Linked DNA regions of Alligator mississippiensis. The protein of the gene in region 1 purifies or fractionates together with the protein of each later gene. This does not show direct contact. Links are inferred from orthologs where the notes say so. Each region holds a gene or a part of one and is shown on either strand. Other genes may lie near its edges.

Region 1 (8,884 bases):
CCCCCTGGGAGTGCGCGTGGTGGTGGGAAGATGTGCCCTGCCATCGCTTGCCCAGCTGGGGCTAGGAGGGGAGAGAGGTGTTGCCACTGCTTGCCCAGCCGGGGCAGGGGGACGTGGGATGTAAGTGTCGTGCAGGGGGATACGAGATGTAGAGTAGCAAGCGGCAGCAGGCAATAGCCCCGGCTCCCAGCACTGCTGCACCTGTACCCCGCATCCTGCACCCCCTGCCCTGGCTGGGCAGCTTGTCCCAGCCCCAATCCCTCCCTCCCCTATGCCCTTCCATCCCCTCTCTGTCCACCACAACAGACTTACCAGATGGAGACAGCTGTGTCCAGTGTGGTGAGGACTGCTGCCTGTTTAGTCTATGGCTGAATCTTTGAAGCGGTGCCAAATCTTCGGATCTGATTCGGCCGAATTGAATTGGGACAGTGATTCAAATCTCTGAATTGAATCATTGTCCCTCTGAATCAGTCAAATCCAAAACTAAGCAAATACTTGCTGCTTCGTAGAGGCCTAGCGTTCATGACCTCTGAAAATTAAGCCATTATACTTGAAGGACACTATGCTTGGGGTCAAGAAACTGGAGTTCTCTTCTCAGCCACTAACTTGCAGGGTGACCAAATACTACTTTCTCCATTTCTCCATGCCTCTTCTCCTGTCAGCCCTCTTTCAGACCTGTCTAATGGGATTTTCAGCTCTTTGAGACAGGGTCCATTTCTCACTTTGTATTCGCACAGCATGTTGGGGCTTCTAGATGCCACTCTAATGCAATCAGTAAATACGGTATAAGGTTAAAAATATTATAAAGTAGATTGTGAGTGCATATAATGCTATCAGTGTTTTAACAGTGCAGGCTAAATGAAACTATCTTAATTTGCTCCTTTGAGCAGAAGGTTCTGATTTAAAAAAAAATTTTTTTTTAGATTTATTTATTTATCTATTTTAGTTTTTTTTTATTTTTACAGATAAAGCACCTGGTTGAAAAGACTACTTTAAATGTTCTGTACTTCTAAAACAAAACAAAATTTATGATAACTATCCATATCCAAATTAACTATTTCCAGATGCTCAGTGCTAACCATTTATACAGTTTGTAAATGCAGCCTTCTTTTGAAAATTCTTTGCCCATTGTTTAACTTTCTTTTAATGCTCTGTATTGTCTTGTATCATTCCTAATATATTGATCATAAGATGATATGATTCCTTTTTCCTCTGATCTGAGGATATATACTGAAAAAAATGTTCAGTTTTGAACCAGTTCCATGTCACAGATAAAATTTATTCTGGGAGGTTCTGCAGGTATAACTGAAGGTACGGTTAAGGCCACTGTTTTGAATGCAAGATGTAGGCCCATGTACTGGCCATGTGAATATATAATATTTATGTGAATATTTCCATGGTATGTTTGAGTCTCATGTGGCTGACTTTATTTCCAATGCTGATCACTCTGATCTCTCATGAATCTATATTCAGATCAGAATACTCACTTTTTCCCTTGTTTTTTCTTTAAAGAACCAAAAAAATACAATGCAAAAATATGCTAAGACAACTTTATGGCTGAAAATTGAAACACATAAGACAGAAAATTCAAAGATACAGTTTCCACAGCAACCATACATCAACCAGATTGCACTCACATTAAAGCAAAGCATTAGCAGCCTACCCAATAATGTAGATTTTACTACACATGAGCAATGGAGCTGTATTATGTTTGGAAAGGGAGCCATAATTTAGAATTACCTGTCTTTTGTAGATTAAATGTTTTCAGCCTTTTCATGCATTAAAAAATTCATAGTGACTCATTCATACAATGTATTCCAAGGACTCTGTGCTCCTGGTTCTAAAAGTGATATGCCACTAGACACTGGGAAGGGGAAATCTGAAGAGCAATACACTTCTTGAGGCAGATTTTTACCTGGGGTACAAATGGAGGTATGACAACTATAATACAATTAAATCACAAATTGTGAAAATAAAGCCTTGCTTTTAGGGAGTTGGAAAATTATTGGTCATGTTTCTTGCAACTCTAGCTGGTCAAATGATGTAATGCAAATCATTTAAAATGTGACCTAAGCCTTTTTTTAAATTTATGGGTTGATGTCAGCTTCTTTCCAAATGTGTGACCAAGTCACCAGTATTAGCAAATTGTTCAGATAACAAATTTGCATTCTATAGGTTATTGGGAAACTATTACATTACACTGTTCATTGCTTCCTACTTACAGTAAAAACTATGGAGTGAAAGCCAGGCCACAATGCCAGTCAATGGCATTGATTTTTGTAAGGCCATGATTTAATTTCCAGAATTGTTTCTACTCCATAATTAGACGACTGAGGCCCTATCCACAGCCTTGTGGCACAGGTTTAATTTAAGGTATGATATAAAATGTTGCTTTAATCAATATAGAGGGTTGTGTGGACACTATCTTCAGTTTAGTCTAGGCTTTGAGCAAATGGAAACAATAGCACACTGGTTTTGATCCTTCCAGGTAATGAATTCCTAGGCCTAGACCATTTCTCTCTCTCATCCCCAGAAGAAAGAAAACGGATTGTCTCACAGTACCTTGTGAGAGCAAATGGAGCCTCAGGCAAGATGCACCTAAGTCTGGGTGTATATCTCTATTCACTCCACTTCAGATGCACTGCAAGAGTTCTCAAGGGCAGGCACTGGGCTAAGATCCCTTACCAAAAAGCACTGACACTGCATTTCCAGGCAAGGAGCATTTATGGAGCAGGAGTGAGTGGGCAGGGCCACAGTCTCGGGTTTGCCCGAGTGCAAACCCCGAGTGGTGGTACAGATATAACCTATCATCTCTCATGCTGGCTGCATGCTGGTGTGGATGTGAAATAGGGTAGCAGGCATATAGATGGTACTTAACTGCTGTTCAGCAGCCTAGTCACATATCTCTATGCTGATGGAAAATGAATAACTCATAATTAGACAGGTAGTTAGCTCTGTTAGTCTGAAGTCAGGCAGAAGGCAAGGTAGATTTGCATCTTGTAGACTAAATCAGAGATGCGTAGCATAAGCTTTTGTGAGCTCAAACTCACTTCATCAGATGCTGTAAATCAAAAGACCATGCACAGAGACCAGCCCTGTGCATGTTGCTTCACAGTAGCTGAGGAAGTGAGCTTGGGCTCACAAAAGGCTATGTTATGCATCTCTGGTATAGTTAGTGCAGCTCTGCCCTGCCTTCTGCCTAACTCAATTGCCAATCTGAGGTTACACTGCAGTGAAGACATGGCATTATTTGGAGTTACTTTACATTGGTTAGGAGGAACAGGGTGAAGTAAAAACAAAATAAATCATTCAAACAAAAAATAAATGGTTAGTGCTTCTGCATGCATCAGTTTAACTACACCAGTGCTGACGTGGGTGGGGAAGCCTTCAAAACATTTTAAATAGGAACATAACAAATGCTTAATAAACACATTTTGGTATTAATTTTGTATCATCGTAAACGAGAGAAAACAGTCATATTTTCCGATCCTATAACATGTCTGTTGTCTGAATATTCTCAGTTAATATTATGATCCAGGAAAGCTAATGGAATTCAGAAAGTTCTTCTTAACGTCTAACCCAGCGGTTCCCAATCTGTGGTATGGGTACCACCAGTGGTATGCAGACAGCTTGTCAGTGGTACACATTAACAGATTTATTTTAATTACTTTACATAACAAGAATTTGCTAGTGGTACTTCAGTTTGAACTGAAACACTTGCTGGTGGTACTTAAGGTTGTGCACCACCAATTTAAAAAAATACAATCTGTCAGAGTTTGAGAACTGGTGGTCTAACCTAAATCTTCCTTTATGCAATTTAAGAGTATGTCTTCTCCTGTCCCCTCACGGATGCACAAAACAGTTGATCACCAGCCTTTTAATAGCTTTTTGTATTTGAAGATTCTTGGCAAATTCCCCCTCAGTCTTCTCCAGGCTAACTAATCTTAGGATTTCTGGGACGTGCCTCTGTAAGGGGGAAACTCTGACTCTCCCCTCTTGCTGGGGACATGCCAGAGATCCTGGGTTTGTGTCTCAGTAAGCAGGAGGGGCCGGGCAAGTGCTCCTAGGGCTTGAGGGTGCCTGGTCCTGTGCAGGAGTTCATAGATTCATAGATATTGTCAGGGTGTGCAGAACTAGGCCCCTCTTGGCAGTTCTTTGCAGATGAAGGTTTTAGGAAGGTAACTGCCCACGCCAGTTGTAGGCCTGCTGGTGACTAACTAGTTCAATTGCAGAGAGGCAAATCCTGCTGCAACGGTCACATGGCTATAGCTGGTTGCCGCTAGATGAGGGTGTATCTTTCCTCCTCCTTCTCTTCTCCTTGATGCTAGTTCTGCCCTGTCATTCAAAGAGGGCTATTGCCTTTTTGTTTTGAAGCCCCCAGGCATCATGATCTGCAGCTTGTGTTTTCCATAGTTTGTAGTCAACACTGCAGGCAGGAAAGGACCTTTTCAGGGTGTCACATTTCCCGGTTGTCAGTTCCCTGTACAGCATGGCCTTTGGTAGGTGGTTGTCATCCATCCGGGCCACGTGGCCTGCCCACCGCAACCGAGTGTGCAGGAGAACAGCCTGGATGCTGGTGGCATGGGCTTTGTAGCACCTCTGTGTCATGAGCACCATATGCCCCCGGGGGCTAGTGGGGCATGGTGAGCTCCTGCAGGCAGTGGTGTCAGCAGCAGGAGCGTGGCAGAGGCAAATGGGGAGCTGGTGCAGGCAGCTGTAGCACTGTCATCGGCAGTGGGGAGGGGGTGGCAGTCAGCAACCACCCACAGACACAGCCGGCAGTGTCGGTGGCAGCCAGTGGTGATCATGGACCGCCTGCAGATACTCCCGGCGGTGTCGGTGGCAAAGGGGGTGGGTGGCGAGTGGCAACCGCCTGCAGGCCAACACTGTCGGCGGCGCCTTTTCGCAGGGGGCGCACTGCCAATCTCAGCTAGGGTACGTGCACCCGCGTGCACCCCTTGCGCATCACCAACGCTCTGCGCTGGCGACCTCATCCTGCCAGCAGATCCCGAGACCCGGGCGGAGGCGCTCGAGCAGGGGCCAGTGGGGGCGATCCAAGCCGGGGGAAAACGTGATGCACACAGTCTCGCACTCTCGAGACAATAGGCAAGGCGTGTTTCATCCAGCGAAGCTAGGAAACATCTGGCACAACTGCTGCGTTTCGCTCTGCAACCTCTGCGTCTACCCTTGTATGGGGGAGGGGCCGCGTGGCCCGCTTGGCGGACTAGCCGCTCAGGGGAGCCCGGCGCTGCCTGGTAGGGGTGGCCCCGGGAGAGGCGGCCCCGCTCGCGTGCGTGCCCCGGCCCGTTTAAGAGGGCGGCGCGGCTCCACGTGCTCCGCCTGAGTGACGGCTCCGTATAAACAGCGCGGGAGGCAGCCGGGCTTGACCGGCAATAACCTCCCTGCGAGGCAATAAAGGCAGCTGGGGTCCGGCGCGGAGCAGCAGCAAACGTTGCGGCCGGGGCACGCGGGACCTGGGCTGGGCAGCGGGGAGTCCGCCGGCACGGAGCGCGCAGGTAGGGCTGCCCCTCTCCCCACGGCTCGCCTCGCCCCCTTCTCGGGGGACATAGTTTCTCCTCTCTTAAAGCCCCCCGAACAAAGCAGAGAGGAGGCTTGTTGCTGCGGGGTGCCGGCGGGGTGGGGGTGTGCCGGGTGCTGCCCCTCCAGGCGCCTCCAGCCGGGGCTGTTGCGCGGGGCGGCGGCGCTGCCCGAGAGTAACCCCGGCCGCGAGCGGCGCCTCCGCGGGAAACAGCAGCGAGCCCGAGGAGCCGGGTTTGTGACGGGAGAGGGGAACACAGATGGGGTTTGAGTAGCTGGAGGCCCTATCCTCATTTCCCTTCCCCTTGCTGCTAAGTCGGGAGCGGTCCCCGCAAGGATGTTTTCACAGAATAAAGGAAACTCTTGTGGGGAAGGGGAAGAAGAGTTTTTGTTTGCTTGTTTGTGCCCCCCCCCCTTCTATTTTCTCTTTATGAATTTTTCGCCTCAGTGTATCCATGGGCAAGATAGACTTGGCTCTCCCCGTGTTTCATCCTTCTTTGAGGGATGCCGGCACCCAATGGGCCAGGGTCTGGTCTCCAGGTCCACAGGCACGTAGGATTGTGATCCTTCGCATCCTTGCTGTGGCTTTAACACCCAGTATATCTTGTTTTTACATTGCAGCCTATTATAGAGCTGCCTTGCAACCTGTCATTAGCCTATTATGAGCGCTCCTGTTTTGTTTTGGTTGAGTGTCATGGGATATCTAAAAATATTTAAGGGGGACAAAAGAAAAAGGATACAGGAGCGCATCCTAAACTCTAATATTTGTCCCTCCACAAAACAAAAAAATATCTTTCAAAGTTTTCACGCAGATATCCATCTTCCTTTATGTTTAGTTTAGTCCTATAAATGAACTTTCCTAAACTTTGGGCTTAGTTTCTTTTAAGTATCTTAGACTGAGAATAGTTTTCCCTGCAAAGAACCACCCTCCTAGATGCTTGTATATAGTTTATTTTGGGTGGATCTTCAGTTGGTGTGAATTGGTATCTGTAACTGCGCTGAAGGCGGGACTGAAGCATCTGCTTATGCACTTTGCTGCGTTGGGCTGATATGGGAACTGAGCTTTCTCAAACATCTGGCCATGTTAACGCATCCAAATACTGAAAAGAGCAGTGCAAGCTCTGTAACAGCATAACTGACTGACCCCAGTGCAAATTCAATTTTTGTATGGGGGCAGTGGGGATAAAAAAGGAGAAATTGAATCCAAATATTGCAAGTACTTGACTCTTACTGCCTATTTTGCCTTTTTTAAAATTAAATATGACCAGCGATTATATGATGAGATCCCACAAGGATTATTATTGCCTACTGTTAGGGACTTTGTCTACCACATTATTGGAATGACATGTAACGGCAGCTACACAAACTCTGCCCGCTTTGCTCCTGACTATAAAGAGCCAAGCCCTGGTGCCGTTACTTGCACCAAGTGGCACTTTATCCCATAAACAGTGCTGCTTCAGTGGGCTCTATGCGGAAGGAAATCTAGCTTTTTTGCATCTTTAGACCAAAATTTTGTTTGCTCTGCAGCAGTTTTAATGGTGAGGGTGTTTGCCAGTAGAGCCACTTACGGTTCTAGACACTTGGATTTAGAATTAGTTTTGGCTAATTTGGCCAAAGTGGCCACCATAAGTGGCCGTGCTACCAGCAAACATCCTCCACCTGCACCTGGGACTTCAGATGTTTCCAAAACCTTTGGCGGGCATTGGTTTGGATGCCCCTGAGTTTTGCTTGCCCTTAGCCATAAGGCCCTTGGAGCAAGCAGGGAGGAGACTGCCATTTCCATAAACTGGGCTGAAAGCCATTGCACCTCAGCGGGTCCTGAACCATGCCAGAAGAGCAGTTCAGGAAAACTGCCTTTTTGGGCACACATACATGGTACTCTCCCTGCCAGGTTAAGAAGGCGCTACGCTTGTCCTGAGCCTTCAGGATATTTAACATTGGAGCAGCTAACTAAGGGATGCTGTGTATTCCTAGCCACTTGGAGTCTTTACATGAGACTATTTGTCTGTCTCTGCAAGGTGTGCTTGGTTTCAGCCAGCAATTTTTTGGGTGTGAAGCAGGTTTTGCTGGGTGAAATCTCTTGGTGGGACACAGGAGATCCAATGATAGATCATTCTGGGCATGTCTCTACTTACTACCTACAGGCTGTGATATGGAGTGCTGTAGTAAGAGTGTTGTACCCCCTCAGCATTTTCTGAGTCCCCAAATGATGCGAGGAAGCAGTGTTGGGCATACTCCTATTAGCATGTCTGTGACGGGGAACAAACTGGTGCTTGCCCTGTGTTGTTCTGAGATTAATCCAGTTATGTTTCCATATCTGGTGGCCATAGATCCTACAGTGCTTCTTAAGAATTAAATGTTTCTCTTTTTTTATTTGCACTGTTTGTGTCCTACATATGAAATTAACACCCTGGATCACAGTTGTATTTGAGAGATCTCCGATTTTCTGTAAATGCAAAGTAGCCCCATTTGTACCTTGCAAAGTTTTCAGATAGGACTTGATGTTAAATAATGAAATATTAAATAATGACTTCTTCACTTTAGAAAACAACTCTTTAGCTACCTGATAAAATTGGGTGTCTTGGAAAAAGTATCTAAACGCTTGTTTGCACTACTACAGAAACCACTGCTAAGGATGAGTTTCTAGTGGCGCAAATCATTGCCTCAGTGCTACTGTCCTGATCCTCATTTATATGAGGGCCTCGATAGAAACAGATCTCACCTTGTATGTTTTCCAGGTTATTTCAACTTTCCAATAGTTCTTTAATTGAACTTTGCCTCGCTTAACCTATCCTGCTCCCTCAACCAAGAAGCAGATCCTAGGTGCATGTGCGTGAGACAAAACTCCACAAAGACTCAACAGACAATTCTGCAGTCTCGACAAGGCAAAATTCCCATTAATCCTTTTGCAGAAGGGTTTACAGAATAAGAAGTAATGCCCAGGGTTTGTTCTCATTTACTCCAGTGCAAGTCTGAAGAGGCTGTGTTGATTTCAAAGTTACTTTAGATTGACTGAGAATACTCTAATCATGAGTGCAAGGTTTGATCTTGAGTGAATTGTAAGAACGGAAGTGATTTCAAAGGTGCATCTCCCCTCTGCTGTGTGTGTGATGCTGCAGACATCAGGGAGCTCATCTGGCTGTGACTGATAGCAAGATTTTTGTTCTAGGGAGGGATCAGAAAAGGTCTAGTTTTATCTCTTCTCATTGTGTTATGATAGGTTCAGTTACCAGATGGGTAACTTTGTTCATGCTGTAAAGAACGTCAAATGGCTGCATGAGACTGAAGTGTTGAACAGGGTGTGAATCTTGCTTGGGAAGAAGAAAGGTGCCTGTAGGGTGTGTAT
Region 2 (8,406 bases), on another chromosome or scaffold:
GGACATGCGGTGTGGCCCAGGCTGGCAGCTGCAGGCCATGGATCTGCTGTGGGGCAGTGGAGATAGGGTGTGAGCCTGGGATGGGTCTAGGGGCTTGGCCAGGGGTTGTCATGGAGTAGCTCTGTGGGTGGGGGTTACCAAAAAGAGTGGAGGTGGGGCAGTGCAGGCATACTGGGGCTTGTAGGAGATATGGGTGTAGGATGTGGTTTTCAGGGGCCAGGTGAGGGGATTGGGGATCCTGCCCTTGGGAGTACAGCCATGTTCCCTGAGGGGGGCGTGGCATTCAGGGTTTAGGGGGCAGGTAGGCTTGGTGCCCCACCTACCTGGCAACGGAGAGCATCATAGACCTTCCAGATGCCGCGCGGTGTTGCCCATTCCAGTCCCAGCCCTGTCAGGTTGGCAATGTCCTCCAGAAACCCCTGTGGAGATGGGGATGCGTAAGGGGGTGCCAGGCCTGGCTGAGGTGATGATGGGGAAGTCCCCCCAAGCACCTTCCAGGCATGCATGCGGGCCTGATGCTGTGGCAGATGGGTGGTCTCCTCCATCAGCTGCTGGTAGCGTGGGCAAGGCCGCAGTGGGAAGCGCAGGAGCTAGGTAGGGAGGCAGGATGGAGTTAGCAACACCCTGACCATGACTCCTCAACCCCAAGTGTAGGTGGGATGACCTCCACCTAAAGGAGAATGTGACCCTAACCTTAAATGTGGCCCCTTTCATCATTACCCCCTAATTCTGACTTAGAAGGAGATGGTGACCCTTTGACCTAGGGTGAGCTCTGATCCTAGCTGAGACCTCAGCTCCGCAACCTCTGACCCTTGAAGGGCTCATAAGCCTGGGGACCAGGGGCATGGAGAATGTGGAGGGGGGCATTAGAAGATGTGGGGGTGGTGCAGTGGGGGCACATTGGGGTCTGTGGGGGCATAGGTATGTGATGGGGCTTCCAGGCATGGGGCTCAGGGGTCCTGCCCTCAGGCTAGAGGCAGTGAGGGGGGTATGCAAGGTGCAGAGAGTGGCTGGGCCCCCTGAAGGGGTGACCCATAGCCCCGGCTCACCTTGTCCTGTGCAGCTGGCACAGTGTGGACAGGCACTGGCTGCCAGGCGGGGTTGGGGGGCCCGGCACCTCCAGGTGGGTACAGCCCAGCTAGGTTAGCCTGGGCGCTGGCCAGCGTGCGGTCATAGTCGGTGCTGCGGACGTAGATCTGCAGGAGAGGCAAGTGGGGTGAGGGTGGGTCAGCATAGGGTGGGGGTGAGCATGGGGACATCAGGGGTCAGGAGGGGTATAGGGCCTCGAGGGAGGGGGCTGTTCCTTCTTGGAGTGGGCCTGGGGGCTTCAGGGCAGTGGGGGTAGGGAGGGATCAGAACCTGGTGTGTGTGTGGGGGGGCTGTTACCTCCTGGGGGTGGTAGTGGGGGCTCAGGAAGGCCTCATAGCGCTGCCGCAGGAACTGGCCCAGCTCACGCTGCTGTTCCACCCCCACCTGGGGCAACAGGTGGAGTCAGGAGCAGCCTCCAACACCTGCAGCATGTCTCTCCCTGCCCCAGTAAGACCCCCCCACTCACCTGAGTGAGCTGCTGGAAGCCCTGGGGCCAGGGCCCCTCCTTGTGGGGGTCACTGGGGTAGGTGTCCATGGGGGCCCGGTCGCCATGGCGATACAGCTGGTGTGCAGAGAAGACCAAGTGTCCCCCTCCTCTCCAACAAACCACCCCCTACCCTCAAGATCCAGAGCTGGGAGGGAACCCAGGTGCCCTGGCTTCCAGCCCCCACTGCTCTTGCCCACCAGCCTCCAGTCCCTCTCCAGAGCTGGGAGAGAACTCAGCTGTCCTGGTCCCAGCCTCCCTTCTCTCACCCACCAGAGCCTACTCCCCTACCCCAAGCTGGGATAGAACCCAGGGGTCCTGCTCTCAGTCTGTGCCCCCTCCCCCACAATCACTAGCCTGCCCTGGGTGGGCTGTGGCCTTGCCGTACCAGTGTGACGAAGCAGAGGGTCCTGGCATGGGCGGTGGGGGGCTGGGACCCCAGCAGGAGCAGGAGCAGGGCAGCAGGCAGCCCCATGGTGTGGGGCTGATGTGTCACCCAGGCAGGGCCTGGTTATAAGCTGCTGAGGTCAGCCCACAGGTGGGGTGGGCCTGTCCCAGCCTGCATGCCCCCCCACCTGCCCATGGGTGCCACTGCCTGCCCCCCACAGCTGGGGGGGGTTAGGGCAGACTTTCCTAACTACCAGTCTGGGGCACAGACTTGCTGAGGTGGCTCAGGGAGGTGGTGGTGGGGGAAGGGGGTGTCTGTACATTGCTCATAGAGGTGTTTGTGGTTGCGGGCAGGTGTGTGCATGTATATGTGTGTGTGTGTGTGTGTGCATCTACTATGCAGTGTGTGGTGGGTTAATGTTCATGTTGATGTTTCCTTGTAGTGCAGGGGGGGTGTTTAGTGGTTTTATGTGTGTGTGTGTGTGTGTGCTGTGTGTACTTGTGTATTGCAGAGAGGGGTGTGTGTATGCACACGTGCTATGTATACTTCTGTATTGCAGAGAGATGTGTGTGTGCATGTGCATCACAGAGAGGTTTGTATGTGCACACTGCATACTTGTGTATTGCAGAGGCGTGTGTGCAGGCACATTGTGTGTAACTATTACAGAGAGAGGCATATGTGTACATGTTACATGTGCTTGTATATTGCAGAGATGTGTTTGTGTCTTGTATGTGTCTGCATATTGTAGAGGGTGTGTGTGTGTGTACTTGTGTATTTGAGAGAGGTGTGTGTGCTGTGCATATTTGTGTATTGCAGAGAGGTACGTATGTGTGTGCTGTGTGCACTTGTGTATTGGAGAGCATTGTGTGCTGTGTGTACTTGTGCATTGCAGAGGTGTGCAGGCAAACTATTTGTAATTGTGTATTTCAGAGAGTTGTGTGTGCATATGCTGTGTGTACCTGTATATTTCAGAGACATGCACATGTGTGTTTGTACCTCATATGTATTTGCATACTGTGGAGGGTGTGTTTGGGTGGGTGAATGCACATGGTGGAGGTGCATGTGATGGAAGTGTGTGTGTGCATGTGCACATTGATATATGTGATGAATGGGTGCATGGAGGATGTAGCAGTGGCCTCATGTCAGGGAGGGTGCTGGGGTGTAGCAGGGGAGCGCACATGGAAAATGGATGTCACTGTGTGTCCATGGACTGCAGGTGGGTCAATGGTGGATGGATGTGTTGAGGTGTGTGGTGCATGTGTCTGAGCCACTCAGGGGCTTGTATTAATTGGGGTTAGGTGTGTTGCTGCATGTCTGGGCACTGCCCTGCTGCACCCCAGGGGATACAGGGCTGTGGAAGTGAGGGGGTGTGGGGGATTTGGGGACCCTGAAGAGGCTGGGGCTGGGCTGGGGCAAGTGTGGGACAATCCAGCCCCCTCCCTGCCATGAGGCCACTTCCAGAAGCCTTTCCCTTCTAGAAGGTGCCTGCCCAGATCCAACCCCAGTGCAGGGGCATGGGCTGGCACAGGGGACAGGGATAGAGCAGGGGCCTTTCCTTTTTAGGGGGTTCCAGCCCTGAAGCATTGTGGGCCTGGGCAGATGAGTGTGGGGGTGCCCCCATGAGGCAGGCCTTGGGTTTTGAGATCCCTGTAGCATTTCCTGTCCTGGTACAGAGACCTCCCCCCAGCCCCAGCCAGGTCTTCTCTCCTCTCTGGCCCCTGTTGGGGGTGGGGGGGTCCAGTTTTGGGATGGGCGCCTTTCAGCGACTCCTGTATAGGGAGCTCAAACCTGCCCCTTAGAATCCCCACCACCCACGTGACTCCCCAGTACAGGGGCTCTGTCTATGGGCTGGAAAGCAGGAGCAAGCTACAAACCCGGGGGCAGGCTGCATCTGGGGAACCCCTCGAAGTAGGAAGCTCAAGCTTACCCCCCAAAATTTCCCCCCCGCCCCGCCATTCAGCCCAGTGTTGGGCAAGGGGATTGGATGGCACCGGTGCATTTGAGAGGCTATATATTTCCAATGCGGGGGGGGGGGGGGGGCTATATCTCATTAACTACTAAATCCAGCAAACTCAAATTTGCTTCCCATAGCCCCCCCACCGGGTTCCTGCTGCAATTTCCAAGCAGACCGGACCATGCCACGGCCAGCTAAGAGGAAAACACCTTCCAGATTGGGGGGCCTATTTTGGGAATCCCTAAGTCCAGCGTGCTCAGATTTACCCCTCTTAACCCCCGCAGCCCCCGGAATCCCAGTGGCGATTTCCAAGCAGATCGGACCATACTGGAGGGAGCTGAGAAACGCGCCCCCAGGCTGGAAGGGGGTTTCCTATCTCGGGAACCCTTCAATCCAGCGAGCTCCAACTGCTCGCGTCCCCCCCCCCCCCCAGACAAGATTCAGCCGGATCCCGGGATCTGTGCTGCGACTTCCGAGCAGATTGGACCATGTTGCGGGGAGCTGAGAGGGGAAACACGTTTCCAATGTTAGGGGCTGTATGTCGGGAACCCCTCAATCCAGCGGGCTCAGACTTGCCCCCCAAAATACCCCGACTCTGCGCCGCGGCTCCTGGGGGGAGGGGGGCGGTCGCACCCGGCAAGGGATTTTTTTGAGGAGTGACGGGGGTAGAAAGCAGATTTCCGCTCCCAACAGCAACAATGTTGCAACCTCTGCTGCGGGGGGAGGGGGCTAAGTGGGGCAGCCCGAGCCCCTCCGCCGCTCCCCCACCCCCCAGGGCACGGGGTTGGGGGGGACAGCCGGTTCCACCCCCCCTTCCTCCCCAATTGCACCGGATCCGGGGGGGCTGGGCTGGAAGTGACGTGGATGTGGGGGTTCCCGGAAAGGCCCGTGTGAATGCGTGTGCGTGTGTGTGTGTGTGGGGGGGGGCGCCTGGAAGGAGACAGGTATGGGGTCTGGGATCGGGGGCGGGGCCGGGAGGGCTGGGATGGGGGGTAGGGGCAGGCATGGAGCCTGGGATGGCGAGGCTGGGCAGGCCAGGGGGGCTGGGATAAGTGCAGGGTGAGCCAGGCAGGGGGCTGGGATCGGGACAGGGGGCTGGGAGTTTGTGGGGCTGGGGATAGCAGAGGGGGGTCGGGAGGGGAAGGAGGAGAAGGAAGAGGCAGGGTTGGGGGAGGGACAGGACCAGAGTAGGGTCCAGGACCCAGTTATGAGGTGTGGGGGGCAGAGAAGCAGGTGCCTGGGGGGGATTGGGGCTGAGGGGCAGCACTGGGGGTCCGGAGCTGGGATGGGGGGAGTGATGTGGGGCTGGGCTGGGAGGTAAGGGTAGGGCATGAGGGACTGGGATTGGGGGGCCTGGGCAAGGTGGGGGGGGCAGGCTGGGGGACTAGGAGCTTGTAGGGTTTGTGTGAGGAGAGCAGAGGGGTCTGAAAGGAGGAAGGGTGGGCAGCAGGATGGGTCCAGGACTTGGTTATGGAGTGTGTGGGGGGCAGAAGCAGGGGCTCTGGGCAGGGAGTTAGAGGGGCAATCAGGGATGGGAGGAGTTCTGGGGGTTTAGAGCTTGGATTGGATTTGGGAGGGAGTGAGGTGGGGCATGGGTGGCAGCCCCAAGCAGGGGAAGGGGCTGGGGAATGTCGGGGGGGGGGAGTGGTAGGTAAGGGGGCACTCCCTGCCAAACAGGAAGGACCCCACTTCCCTTTGCTTCTCAGAGTTATTCCCCTGGGAGCAGCCCAGACCCTGAAGGATCCCCCAGAACTTGCCCCAGTGCCCCCCAGGGCAGTGCCATGTGGCCCCTGCCCAGCTGAGCCTGCCCCCAGGAGGTGGTGGACATGGTGAGAAGTGGGAGATATTGGTTGTGGGGGGCCTGGGGGTGGTTCCCTCACAGCTCTGTGGGACAGCGGTGAGTGCTGGTGGGGTGGGGTGGGGGGTCTGTTTCTGCTTGTCTGACCATCCTTCTGTCTCTCCTTCTGTAGCACTGGGACTGGGTGCCACTGGCAGCCCACCACGCCCCAACATGGCCACACCGGGATCTGACCTACTGCCGGGTGAGTGACGGGCAAATTGGGGTGTGGGTGTGGGGTCCCTTTCTGTGACAGAACCCAGGCATCCGGGCAGTGGCTGCCCTTCCACCCCCCCCAAGTAACACAATAATCCCTGCAGGAGAACCCAGGCATCAGAAGCCCCATCAGAGGAACCCAGGCTACTTCCCTCTGGTGTCCAGGCATCTGAGGACCCACAGCCTCCCTTCCCTTTGCCCCAGTCCTGCAGCACTCCACCAAAGACCCAGGTGTCTGGGCAGCCACAGGCTTCTCCTTTGGGGATACTACTGCTGACCTCTCTCCCCCACTTCCCCCCCACTTTCCAGAGAACAGGGAGCCTTGGAGCCCAGCCCCCACCAGAGCCCCTGACCCAGAGTTGAAGAACGAGGGCCCCCACTCCCAGCTGGAGTTGGGAGCTGTAGCAGACAGTGAGGTGCCGGGCACCGATGGGGAAGGAACCGCCCAGAGCACTGGTGAGGGGCTGGGGGGTGGTGAATGGGGTGGGAGGGGCTAGAGCAAGGGGTGAGGAGTGCATCTGTGGGTGCTGGGCTCAGCAGGGCAGGGGAGCTGGCTGTCAGTGGGGCTGCAGGGACAGGGGGCCCTGGTGGGGCTGAATGGGTGAGAACTGAGGAGAGTAGCTAAAGAGATGGGGGGCAGTGGGGCATGGAAGCAGTGGAGGGGTATCATTGCAGCCAGTGGGGGGGCAGTAGGGCATGGGGGGTCCAGTGGGGAGCAGTGTATGGGCAGGTCACTGGGACATGGGGAGCAGTGGGGAAGTAATGGGATATAGGGATAGTGGGGCATAAGAGGATAGGGAGCAGTGGGGCATGGAGGGGCAATGGAAGGGTGTCAGAGGGCCCAGTGCGGGGACAGTGGAGAATGGGGGGCAGTGGGGTACGAGGGCTAGTGAGTTGGGGGCAGTGGGGGGGGGTCAGTGAGGCATGGGAAGTAGTTGGGGGGTCAGTGGGGCATAATGGGCAAGGCTCAGCAGGCAAGGCCTGGTGCTCTGAGCCTGACCCTGATGCCCCACTTTGCTCCTCTATCCCTATGGCTGCAGGGGAGGAACCGGTGCGGCGCCACCGCAAGGGCCCGGCGCCTAAGATGCTGGGCACAGAGCGGTGCAGTGTATGCAGGGACAAAGCCTCAGGCTTCCACTACAATGTGCTGAGCTGTGAGGGCTGCAAGGGCTTCTTTCGCCGCAGTGTCATCAAGGGGGCACAGTATGCCTGCCGTGGTGCTGGCCAATGCCACATGGACCCCTACATGCGCCGCAAATGCCAACTGTGTCGCTTTCGCAAGTGCCGCCAGGCTGGCATGCGAGAGCAGTGTGAGTGCTTGGGGCCATGGGCTGGGGGCAGGCTGGGAACATGGGGGAGCTCTGGGGTAGCCAGATAGGGAGGGGGACGGGGGGCAGAGTGGTCACAGGCTTGCAATGTGAACAGTGGAAGCCAGCCTTAGGGCACAGGTTCGCAGGCACCAGTCAGGTGGATCATGCATCAGGAGTGGTACTGGTGCCTGGCAGGCAGTAAACCAGGCCATGGGCCCAAGAAGGCTTGTGAGGACTTGGGGATCAGAGGCATGAGGGCATCAGGGGAACAGGCTGTGTGGATTGGGGGACCAGCAAGGGCTGATGTAGGGCATCAAGGGTCCAGCTGGCATGTGCAAGTGGTGTGAATCACATGCTGGGGCAGGGAGGGGGGCAGTGTGTGTCATGGGCTGTGGCTAGGGAGGGTGCCAGGGGGTGGGAGCTGGTTGGCTTGTGTGTGATGGGGTGGGGAGGCAGGGGCACAAGGAGAGGGAGGGGTGCGGGGGGGTCACAGGGTGTACAGGGAGGGGGCATGGTGGGGCAGCCAGCTTGTCTGGCAGTGTGGGGGCAACTAGGAGCCTGGGATCAGGCTGGGCAGGGGGTGGGGGACCTGGGGCACCAGCAGGGGAGTGTTGTGTTCTGCTTTGGAGAGGGCTGAAGTGGGGTGGAGAGGGGCAGGGGTCCCCTCCAATGCCTGTACCCCAATGACCCCGTTGCATGGCAGATGTCCTGTCGGAGGAGCAGCTACGGAAGAAGAAGCTGAGCCGGCAGCAGCAGCAACAGGAGGGGTGTGGGGGGGGCGAGATGCCCCGGGTGCCCCCGCTGCTCCCAGACCCTGTGCTGGGGCTGCCTGAGCCTGCCCAGCTCACACAGCAGCAGGAGCGCATGATCCAGCAGCTGGTGGCGGCTCAGCAGCAGTGCAACAAGCGCTCCTTCAGTGATCAGCCCAAGGTCACGGTGAGTGGCCTTGGCAGCCCTGGGCACTGCAGATCTCTCCAGCTCTGGGCACCAAAGCCCCCCTCACCCCACACGCACACTGGCAAGGCATAGACATCACTAGGCATCAGAGCCCTCCCTCCCCCAGTGCCAGGGAGGGTACAGGTGCCTGGTGCCACAGGACAGAAGTATCATGTCTTGCCCTCTTTTTCC

The links.
Region 2: the proteins of ABCA1 (region 1) and NR1H2 purify together in Homo sapiens (affinity purification with western blotting; 3 studies listed by BioGRID and IntAct, with this or other methods). This does not show direct contact. The link is inferred for Alligator mississippiensis from reciprocal best matches to the Homo sapiens genes ABCA1 and NR1H2.

The regions. Positions count from the first base shown.
Region 1 is NC_081826.1:157,970,918-157,979,801, reverse strand, and holds the start of ABCA1 (phospholipid-transporting ATPase ABCA1), read left to right. Parts: upstream 1-5,342; 5' UTR 5,343-5,516; intron 5,517-8,884. UniProt on the Homo sapiens protein: Catalyzes the translocation of specific phospholipids from the cytoplasmic to the extracellular/lumenal leaflet of membrane coupled to the hydrolysis of ATP.
Region 2 is NC_081828.1:40,181,786-40,190,191, forward strand, and holds the start of NR1H2 (oxysterols receptor LXR-beta), read left to right. Parts: upstream 1-4,774; 5' UTR 4,775-4,859; intron 4,860-5,621; 5' UTR 5,622-5,744; intron 5,745-5,885; 5' UTR 5,886-5,926; coding exon 5,927-5,957; intron 5,958-6,277; coding exon 6,278-6,424; intron 6,425-7,008; coding exon 7,009-7,278; intron 7,279-7,981; coding exon 7,982-8,214; intron 8,215-8,406. Other genes in the region: ACP4 (testicular acid phosphatase), read right to left, coding at 1-46, 324-590, 1,050-1,196, 1,387-1,473, 1,556-1,651, 1,962-2,048. UniProt on the Homo sapiens protein: Nuclear receptor that exhibits a ligand-dependent transcriptional activation activity. Binds preferentially to double-stranded oligonucleotide direct repeats having the consensus half-site sequence 5'-AGGTCA-3' and 4-nt spacing (DR-4).